Mus musculus: one gene and its partners. The protein of the gene in region 3 purifies or fractionates together with the protein of the main gene of each other region. This does not show direct contact. Links are inferred from orthologs where the notes say so. Each region holds a gene or a part of one and is shown on either strand. Other genes may lie near its edges. The genes, in order: Mif4gd, Ctif and Slbp.

Evidence for each region.
Region 1: the proteins of Slbp (region 3) and Mif4gd purify together in Homo sapiens (affinity purification with western blotting; 3 studies listed by BioGRID and IntAct, with this or other methods). This does not show direct contact. The link is inferred for Mus musculus from reciprocal best matches to the Homo sapiens genes SLBP and MIF4GD.
Region 2: the proteins of Slbp (region 3) and Ctif purify together in Homo sapiens (affinity purification with western blotting; 3 studies listed by BioGRID). This does not show direct contact. The link is inferred for Mus musculus from reciprocal best matches to the Homo sapiens genes SLBP and CTIF.

Annotation. Positions count from the first base shown.
Region 1 is NC_000077.6:115,610,393-115,614,141, reverse strand, and holds the start of Mif4gd (MIF4G domain-containing protein), read left to right. Parts: upstream 1-1,172; 5' UTR 1,173-1,357; intron 1,358-1,638; exon of another isoform or gene 1,639-2,107; 5' UTR 2,108-2,157; coding exon 2,158-2,239; intron 2,240-3,659; exon of another isoform or gene 3,660-3,725; intron 3,726-3,749. UniProt on the Homo sapiens protein: Functions in replication-dependent translation of histone mRNAs which differ from other eukaryotic mRNAs in that they do not end with a poly-A tail but a stem-loop. May participate in circularizing those mRNAs specifically enhancing their translation.
Region 2 is NC_000084.6:75,694,919-75,698,667, forward strand, and holds the start of Ctif (CBP80/20-dependent translation initiation factor), read right to left. Parts: upstream 2,779-3,749; 5' UTR 2,474-2,778; intron 2,390-2,473; exon of another isoform or gene 2,064-2,389; intron 1-2,063. UniProt on the Homo sapiens protein: Specifically required for the pioneer round of mRNA translation mediated by the cap-binding complex (CBC), that takes place during or right after mRNA export via the nuclear pore complex (NPC).
Region 3 is NC_000071.6:33,639,525-33,642,693, forward strand, and holds the end of Slbp (histone RNA hairpin-binding protein), read right to left. Parts: intron 2,459-3,169; coding exon 2,377-2,458; intron 1,405-2,376; coding exon 1,288-1,404; 3' UTR 531-1,287; downstream 1-530. UniProt on the Homo sapiens protein: RNA-binding protein involved in the histone pre-mRNA processing.

The DNA of each region.
Region 1 (3,749 bases), on a different chromosome or scaffold from region 3:
TTTCTTCTACTGCTATGATAAACACCATGACCAAAAAGCAAGTTGGAGAGGGAAGGGTTTATTCAGCTTACACTTCCACATCACTGTTCATCACCAAAGGAAGTCAGGACAGGAACTCAAGCAGGGCAGGAACCTGGAGCCAGGAGCTGGAGGTCATGGAGGGAGCTGCTTACTGGCTTGCTCAGCCTGGACCATCAGTCCAAGGATGGCACCATCCACAATGGGCTGGGCCCTTCCCCATCAATGACTAATTACAAAAGTGCTCCACAGGCAGTAGGAGTTTATGGAGGCATTTTCTTAGTTGAGGCTCCCTCCTTTCAAATGACTTTAGTTTGTGTCAACTTGACATAAAACTATCCAGCACATTACCAAAGTCCAATTGGGAGTTACAGGAGCAGAAATGACTCAAAGACAGGGACATTACCCAAAGCTCAGCCTAGCATTGCTGAACTCATGAAAGCTGGGATCATGGAGCACAGTGCAGTCTGCAGGCAGCCCAACAGATTGGAGAGACCTCCAGGCAGCTCAGTTGGTCCCAGCCTATCTTCAGGTCAACTGGAGCAGTCTCAAGAGTACACTGGGCAGCCCAGCTCAAGCTGCTGTTTCCACAGGGTGTGCTAGCTCGAGCCTTTTTAGGCCACTTAGCTCGTCTGAGTGCAATTCGGCAATCCTCGCTGCTTTTACATTCTTAGTAGGGAGGGGCTTCCAGGAGCCTGTGAGTTGTTCACTTCCCCTACTTAAAACATCCTGTGTCTTAATGCGCCTCCCTGCGTGGTGGGATGTTGTTTCTCCTTTATCTTAACCTGGAAGATTCAGGGTCGGCTGTCTGATTTTTTTTTTTTTTAAGAAGTCTTATCGACGTAAATTCCGTGCTCCTCATTTCCCCGCCCTCAGGAGCTTCTCGAGCTTTTTGGTACTATCACCCTGAGCGCTGTGGCAAACTCTTAAAGCAGCTGAGAGCTTTGGCTCCTGGTCCCTCGTGCGCAGCAGTGTTGCTCCCGATTCCCCCTAGGAAAGACCCAGGGCCCTTTATCTTGGCTGCTCCTTTGGTTTAAAACTTATTTTACAGTGAGTGGCAGGAGAGGGAGTTGCCAGAGTGTGCCCCAGCCCTTGCACTCCGCTTTAACCGGCCAAACCCCAGAAGACTACGCCCCTCCCCCCGAATAGGCCACGCCTTCCCGAAGCTCCTCCCACGCTGCCCGGCCGGGGAGAGTCTGACCTAGTTCACCTGAGCGGGGCAAGGGATATGGTGACCCCGGCGCGGGGTGCGACCTGGCAAGACCAACAACTTCACGCAAAACGCAGGGAGGGTCCGGCCCAGCGCTCGGAGGCTTTCGTGGTCAGAAACAAGGCGGAGGTGCGCCGGGTGGGAAGGGGACAGGGGCCGGTGAGCTTTCAGCGCGCGACGGTGGCGGTGTCGCAGTTGTCGGGTGCCGATCCGTCTCCGCGCCAAGCGAGGGAGCGGCCCGGGGCGGCGGCGGGGTGCGGAGGCGAGGGCGAGTCGTGGCCGGTAGGCGGCGCTAGCGAGTCGCCCTGGCGCCGCCGCCGCCGCCGCCGCCGCCGCGCGGTACCACGCCGGGCGCGCGCCGCGCGGCGCCCCAGACGCAGGCGCGGGCCAGCCCTGGCCCAACGGCTGCAGGGGTGGACGGACTGGAAACGCTGGGAGAGAGGGGCTCGGAGCCCTGCTGGTATCAGGATCTGCGGCTTGGACTGAGCCAGCGTCCTCCGTGCTAGACGATAAAGGCGAGCCTGACGTTTACACCCAGTTCAGTATTTGCACCCCGAAATTTACCCTGATACTGACTGTATCAGATCCCAGATCTGGGATAACTCAGATCCCGCTGGGACCGTAGGTGAATTCCCGCTTCACTTCTCAGATGTAACCCCAGAAGCCTGGGTTTCCTTCAGCTGAGCAGCAGGTGGCCACTTGGTGCTCAACTACTCCACCCGAAGCCAAGTTTGGTGGGCACTCAGCCAAGCACTGAACGCGACAGAAAGTCCAGTTCCACCCGTCCCAAGGCCTGGTCTGCCCGGCCCAGTGCCTACAGGGCTAGAATCGGGAGCTTTGTGATTCACCCTTGAAGCCTCAACCGTCTTTGCTTCTCAGGTGCTGTCCTTAGTTTCAGGCCAGTGAAAACCTGCCGGGCTTAGACCGTCATGAGCGAGGCCAGTAGAGATGATTATAAAATCCAGTCTTTTGATGCAGAGACGCAGCAGCTGCTGAAGACCGCGCTCAAAGGTGAGCCTCCCACCCACCACTTATTTTGTGTCAAGTTGACATAAAACTATCCAGCACGCTACCAGAGTCCGACTTGAGGTTCCCATGCATATTCCATTTGGGTAAGAGCCGCACTGGGGGCTGAAGCCCAGAGCCAGGCAGTGCCCAAGCCCTTCTTGGCTCTCAGAAAGTAAGTCACAACCTAATTCTCACCACATTTAAGCCAGTAGATTGGAGAATGAATCACAGAGTTAGATCTAAGATCATAAAGCCTTTAAGTACCCATGAAAGAGAACACTGCTTTCTCTTTAAAGGCTTTGCATTTGGTGCAGTCAGCACCCTTGAATGTACAGAGATGCCTGGTTTGGAGAATCAGCCTGGCAGAGGGGATATGTAATTGCCTGGCCCTTCCGTTGTAACACTCACGACAGAAGTTTGACAGGACAATTAGCAATTGCCGTCATGTGCTAAGCTAAACATTTTGGAGACGTCTCCATGCCTGTAATCCCAGCAGATTACAGAGGTAGGAGAATTAGCACAAATTCAAGGCCAAATTGCTCAACACAGACTGTGCCTGTGGGAGGAGAGATGGCCCAGTGATTTAGAGCATTTGCGTGCTGTTCTCCTTTAACCCCAGCAAGCAGGAGGCACGATAGCTGGCTACACAGTGAGATGCTGTCACCAAAACAAAACACAACAGAAAGCCATAAAGAACACTTGACTTGCAGAGGACCTTGAGAGGTTCAAGACCATTGATAGCTCAGTTCTCAGGATCCCGTGCTATCCTCTATCTCCGGCAAACACATGGCATGCATATATACATGTAAGAAAATATTCATACATATGACATGAATGAACCTAAAAAAAAAATTACATGGTGAGCTTGAGGCCAGCCAGAGCAAAACAAGACTATCTCAAAAAAAAAAAAAAAAAAAAAAAGTAGAAGCCTTGGCATTCAGTGTACGCCATCAAGGCAGTGCTAGAAAATAAAAGACGTGTAGCCTAAGAAACTACACTTGTGCTTTGGTCTCCTGCAGCCTCCTAATCTTACAGTCATTGATTTATTGGCACAGGATCTCTCCCTGGCTGGCCTACATCTCTCCCTGGCCTGCCTCTTCTACCTAAGTATTGGGATAAAAGGTTTACACCATTCCATGCAGAGTACAAATTGTTTTTTTATAAAGTTTTTTTTTAAAGGTTATTTATTATATGTAAGTACATTGTCACTGTCTTGAGACACACCAGAAGAGGGAGTCAGATCTCGTTAAGGATAGTTGTGAGCTACCATGTGGTTGCTGGGATTTGAACTCAGGACCTCCAGAAGAGCAGTCAGTATTCTTAACCACTGAGCCATCTCTCCAGCCCACAAATTGTTTTTTGTTTGTTCATGTGTATACCTACTTGTCTGCTTGTGAACCACACATATACTGTGCCTGTGGAGGCAAAGGAGGATGGCCAAGCCTCTGGAACTGAAGTTCTAGGCGCCTGTGAACAGCCAGCGTAGAAGGTGGGAATCAAACCTGGGCTCTCT
Region 2 (3,749 bases), on a different chromosome or scaffold from region 3:
CTCACAGCATCCTCTTAATAACTGTACTATGTGGTGGGGAAACCCCCGCTCTGTAAATTCAGAGTGACATGTTCTTGTTCCAGCAATCTACTCACCTCGACGGCACGATACCCAGAAAGCCTTGCAGATTACTGTCATCACCAGGATAGGCATTGGACATGACACACCGCTGAGCCTATTGCTATCAGCAGAGTCCTGTTTCACATACTCAGAGGAATTTTCTTGGGCTACCCAAGAGCATCATGACACTATTTAGTGTCTGTTGAGGGCAATCTGTTCCTATACAATTGGGTTGTTTGAAAGTTCCTGAGGTTTCCTTTCATGGACCACGGGCTGCTAGGAAGCAAGATTCCAGAGGTTTGGGCCCAGCCCCTACGCTGGGCCAAGAGGAACCCGGCAGGACAGCCCATCGCTCCTCCCACTGCTGTGCCGCGCCTCCCTCCGAGCAGAGGCGGTGCTTAAGCCGTGTCACTTTCGACCTGGGGAGGCTCCCAACACCCGAGCCTGAGGTGTCCAGGCGGTGCAGGGGCCCCTAGCCAGAGAAGGATAATCTCGGAGCTTCAGAAATGACAGCCGGGAGGGCGGGGTAGGCAGAGGCGTGTGATCCCGCAGACCTGCGGGCAGAGGTAGACAGGGTCTACCGGGCAGGCTTTGGTTCTCAATTGAAAAACCGAGGGCAGGGAGGGGTGGCTGAACGCGTGGATTCTCTCTAGGATCTGGGAAGGCAGCTGAGGAAACGCACAGGCACGAGCATCACCAGGAGCCTCCGCGCTAGGGGCCAAGGATCCTAAACATGGCTTGCTGAGGATGAGGGACACTAGAGCTCGGGAGGATCCTCCCAGCCCGCAGGGTGGGCTGCCAGTCACTGGGCTAGGGAAGACGAGAGAAACGTAGAGGGAGGGCCACACAGAGCTTGGGACTCCCAGGCAGCCACAGAGCCCAAGCCACCCTAAGGTCTTCCCCGGCGCCAGCCTAAGGATTCCTTAGTAACCCAAGCGTGGACACACATAAGAGACAGCCCAACTCACACCATTTGGGGCTAGCTGGTCCAATCCCAAGAGGCATCCATCCCACGCTGTTCTCCACTATGCCGCCCCCTCCCAGACCAAGCTGTGTGTACACACACAAACAGTTGGGCGGGGGAGGCGACGCCTCCCTCCTGGTGGGGACACTCAGGGCACAGCCACCGATCCCTCTCCTCTAAAAGCCGCGCCCCCTTCCCAGTTCACACTCCCCCTTGCCCCTACCCTGAGAACTCCTCAAAATCAGAGCCAGGGCTGCCCGAGTTCAGGGTTTGAATCCTGGACTGTCTTTTTAATGCCAACAAACAACCAGCTCCGATACCCGGTCTTGGGGATGCCTCCTCCTGTGGCATTCAGGAACCCGCACGCGGCCCTCCCGATCCCCGTGCCCTCCCGATCCCGTAGACATCTACCTCAGCCAAGCCACCGCTCCCATCTCCCCCTAAAACCTGCACCTGTGACCATCACTAGCTAGTTCCCCCCAGCAGCCCACTCCACGGCCTTCGGGCTGCCCGCCAGCAAGAACCGGCTTTTGGAACCTGTCAACTTAACCCCAGCTCTGTAGGACGTATCTATCCCCATCTCCGCCCCCCAGGCCCCATCACTCAGAGGCCACAGGAATGATCATCCTTAAAGACCGGCAGAATCACCACGGTATAGGACGGCCAAAGCCGTCACTGCAATGGCTCCGCCAAGGCGCCCTCCACTGCTCCTATCCGCCGCGCCCTCCGCGGCCCGCGGGCTCACCGGGGACGAAGGGAGGGGTCTGCTGCCTGTCTAGACGAGAGCCATCCACACACATCCCCAAGCTCGCAGGGACAGCCATCCGCACGGCAGGGGAGGGCAGCGTGAACACACAGAGTCGTGGGTTCCCTCCCTCAAGCCCGAGTGCTGCAGCCGCGCCCGCAGCCGCCTCCCCAGCCGCGCTCCGACCTCGGCGCAGAGCGCGGTCGGAACAGCTGCAAGTTTGCCTGGCGCTGGAGCAACTGCTCGTTGCAGCAAACGAGGCTCCAAAACAAAAGGGAAAGGAATCTTGCTCACGAGCTTCCTCCCCGCGGGTCGGAACCGGGCACAAGACATCGGCTACACCGCGCGGCTCCAGCCCGAGTGAGGCTCCAGACGCGCGTTCCCCCCAGGAACCCCTCTGGGTTCCGGAGCTCTGGTGTCACGGTCCCCACCGCGCGGGGAGCTGGGCCCACTACAGGACAAACCCTGGGAGAGGGCGAGATCGGAGAGTGCGGTACCCACTAGACCCAGAGGAGGGGACTAAGGATGGGTGCGGACACCGGGCTGGCTAAAGCACTGGGAGGGGGAAGGGGGAGAATTGTTTGGAGCGGTTTTCCCGGATTTATCTATAATCGAGAGCACGTCACGTATCCCTCCTCCCGGGTCCCCGAATCCACCCGCAAATCGAGGTGACTAAAAGAGGAGGGAGGACAAGGGATGCTCACCTCGGGGTTCCTCTGGCTGCCGCGCGGAGCCCGCGTCGGGGTGGGGGAAGGGGGCAGGGAAGGGGAAGGGAGGGACCAGGCTGCAAAGAGCGGACTCCTGCTGGGAGTTCGGCGCGTCCCAGCCGTGAGGGGGATCCGGCACCTCAGCGGACCGACCCAGTCGAGAGGGGAGGGAGGGAGGGAAGGGAGACAGGGAGGGAGGGGCAGGCAGAGGGAGGGAGTAGAGGAAGGAAAAAAAAAATGATCCCAGTACTGACACAGGGAAAGAGAATGTAGGAGAGTGACGTCCGGGCCCCGCCTCCCCCTCCGGCCACGTGCAAAGACTTGAAAGGAAAGAGGGAGACGGCGAGCCTGCTGGGTAATGTAGTTCGCCTTTCTTTCCTAGGATGGCGGGCCCTGGAGAGCTGGGAACCCGGGGGAAGCCGGGGAACTGCCTGGACAGAGTAGTGTTGCTACGCCGATGCCAGTGACCTCTTGCATTAGCGGGGCCCTCCGCGGTGGGGGACAGAACTGAGGGCTATGGCAACGTCTGAGCTTGCAGAGATAACTTGGTTTTAGAATCAGGCAGGCTGTGAGGATAAGGACTCCGAGCTTAAAGTATAAAGTCTGTCCCAATGGCAGATAAGAGAAAGCGTAATGTATGCTCTGGGAGCGATGGTGTGTGTGTGTGTGTGTGTGTGTGTGTGTGTGTGTGTGTGTGTGTGTTGGGGGGGGACACAAGTGGCGTTATTAATGCGGCATTAAGTGCCACCGTCGGTTATTGAGATTCATATGTTATAATTAACGTTTGCGCATCGCTCGGGCAGGGGCGGGATGTTGTAATTAGATATGCACTTTGCGACCAATTAATTTTCCATTGGCCATGCTAAAAGCTGGGACGCCGGCTGGAGGAATTCGATGCAGTGGATAATTCGGTCATCACTTGATCTCCACTGTTTTGGTTAAAACGGTGGTTAAAGCACAGAAGCCTCCAGGAGAAATATAAGATGCTGCACGCATCACCAAGCAGTGGAGTCAGGTGCATATTGGAGGTGCTGGAACAGACCCGCTGAAGAAATCCTTTGAGTGATTAATTTGTAAAACATCTAATGAGCACAGCTGGACATGCAGGGACCTGTAAGGCCCTCAGTCTTTGCCCTCCAGGAGCCCAATCTTGTGGGAGGGCCTTTCACAGTCTTGTGAAAGATGGGGGTAAATGTCACTTGATAGGAAGGCTTCCAGGGGGGACCCGGTGCCTGAATGAAGAGTTACTAAGGTTTTTTAACGAGGGGCAGGC
Region 3 (3,169 bases):
CTTTTACTGTTTCAAGTCCTCCTAGCCTCCACATTTAGTCTCAGAGAGCCAACTTATCCACTCCTCGACTCCACCTCAGGGCCTTTGCACTGGCTGCTTTTCAAGGCATGACTCAATGCCACCTACCCGGCATCACTAGACCCCCTACCCCCTGCTCACTCATCTCAACCTGATGGTCTCAGCCCTACTATAAGTCTTCAGGGCCACTACTGTGGCTGACATAGAACCTGCAGGTGGACAGAGGTCAAGAATACCAAGGCACCCGCCCTTTGTGCTTAGGCACATAATGGTGAAGCTTTACCCTGAACATGTAAGCAGGTCCCATGTCAGAGCATTATAATCATCATGGTCTCCATACAGATCCGACGGACAGGAACTTAACAAGGAAACAGTGTCTGTACTTGGCCACTACCGACCAGATTTGTGCATGGTTTTCTCACGGAAGGGAAGTAACATTCCCATATGCCATACAAGTGGTTCAGGTACAAAAGAAAGGCTTGCCCTGACCCTCCAAACAGTATAGGGCAATGTTACAAGTCAGTTAAAGGGTCTTTATTTTTGCAATTATCATTCCATACAAAAGCAATAGAAATGCAAATATTGACAAGTTTACAACTGGATACATGAACAGAGTAACTGTACACATTATCATTTACAGCAATATTACATGGTAAATTAACTGATCATTAAAAAAACAAAGTTCTTTCTAAGTCCCTCTCTTCTGCCTCAACTCTCATAGAGCATGTGCTAAGATACTTACCTCACACTAATGCTATTTCAAGTTCCAAATTAAAACTATATAACTTACATACAGCCCATTAATATAATAGCTTAGCATCCTTTGTCCAGAGCTCTGTATGAGGGAAAACTACATTCACATTGATAAAAGACCAGAAAATAAGTTTTTACAGAGTCATTGCAGCTGCCTGACTGAGAATTCTTTATCAGTTACCTGAAAGGCAACTGATTCTAAATTGGTCCCATAGACACATGGTTAAAATCCACTGCCAACACATCTGAAAAGTGGCAACTGAAGGCTCAAGTTTCCTGTTGTCTAACTTGGGGGGCAAAAATATAATAGGGCTAAGTCTCCACTGCATTTAGCTTCATTTACAACTTAAAACATGCCTAACACATTTACCATACATAAAAATAAGGCAAGAAAAACAATTTATCATGAGAAAATAAACTCTTAACAGAGACAACAAAAACAAATGCAGAGCAACTCAGGCCTTCCAGGTGGCCAGGCAGAGCCACGTATTTCTCTGAGTAACCACCAGGTGGCAGTTAACTCATGGCAGAGAAGTCTTTCAAAGGTTCAGTTAAACAAGCTTCCAAATCAAACTCATCCTCCACTTGGCAGTCCACGTGTCTGACTTTGGTGGGTGTGCCAGCATACACATCCTAGAAAACAGAGGCAGTCATACCTGCATCAGTCCATCACACAGGCTTCCTTGTAGTTACCCTGAGCACAAGTGAACTTGCCCAGAAGAGCAGGACAAAGCCAAGACCAACATCGTCTTGACATTTCAATAGTGTACATTTATGTTACTTGACTTGTCCCAACCATTGTTGCTATCAAAAAGATCAATAAACCTGAGTACACCTGGAGTGACAGATGGGAACCAGAATAAGGTACCTTTGTTTATTGCCATAGTCAAACAAAGCATAAGAACAGCTTATAGTTGCTTGTGTTTTAAGTCTTTCGCATTTTGCCACTTCAGAACCTAGATATTTTACATATATATATAAAAGTAATGGAAGGTCTTAATCACAAACATAAAGGTACCTTATACCAGATCATTAACTACTGAGCCAGTGAAAAGACTATTCTGTGTAGTTCAAACAGTTTACTGGGGATGAGTTAATCTCTGATCTTCCTGCATGCACCACCACACCTAGCTTTATCATAAAAAAACAAAAAAACTAGCCCCTAGGCCAGGCAAATCCCAGCATGAAGGAGGCATCAGCAGGAAGACCTGGGTGAGCTCAAAGCCAAACTGGTTTCTACAGTGAGTTCCAGAACAACCAGGACTGCACAGGTCTGAGTTTGAAGTTAGCCTGGTCTAAAGAGTGAGCTCCAGGACAAGCATTGCTGTTGGAAAAACCCTATCTTGAAAAGACAAAAAACCTAACCAATTCCCTTAAGAAGCATTCAGGTGATCCCTACACCAGGAGCTCACCACTGTAAGCCCAAACTGAGGTAAACTGCTCAGAACCCAATTTGTGATCAATTTGGTATTTCTTGATGGAAAAAAGTCCTTTATTCAGACGCATTATAATCAAACTCCAGTTCTAACCTTGGGTATGTAAAGTGGTATGTACTCTCAAATGACTTCAAACACCCAAGATAAGAGACAGATCCAAAGTACTTACAAAGTTATCCTGTGAACTTGTCTGAGACTCAGAGCTGCTTTCTGTGAATTCAGTCTCCATTTCCCCAAGATCTACAGGTTGTCTGAGAAATGAAACAACACAAGCCTGTCAATTACCTGCTGCTATCACAAAGTTTGCTAAAGCCAAACACCACGACAACAGTGTTGTTTCCTAAGGAACACTTCATATTTGATAAATTTAATTCCTGACCAATCAACCCAACACAAAATACTGATACCAACTCAAAGTGAAAGGTCACCCAAGCTGGATGTGGTGGCGCGCGCCTTTAAACCCAGCACTCGGGAGGCAGAGGCAGGCGGATTCCTGAGTTCGAGGCCAGCCTGGTCTACAGAGTGAGTTCCAGGACAGCCAAGACTACACAGAGAAACCCTGTCTCGAAAAACAAAACAAAACAAAAAGAAAGGTTACCCAGCTCAGAGGACTAGTCTGAGAATTCACACACACCCGAAAATATCCTTTTTTGGTTTTTTTTGTTTATTTCACCTGCAGTGGTGTTTTGCTGCATGTCTGTGTGAGAGTGACAGACCCTCCAAAACTGGAGTAGGACAGGTGTGAGCTGCGATGTGAAGAATTGAACCTGGGTTCTCTAGAACTGCCAGTGCTCTTAACCACTGAGCCATCTCCAAGCTCCTTTTTTGTTTATCTATCTATCTATCTATCTATCTATCTATCTATCTATCTATCTATCTATCTATCTATCTATCTATCTATCTCTGACTGTCCTGGAACTAATTCCTGGCCCTATAAACATTCTTGAAAAGCAAAAGGGGAA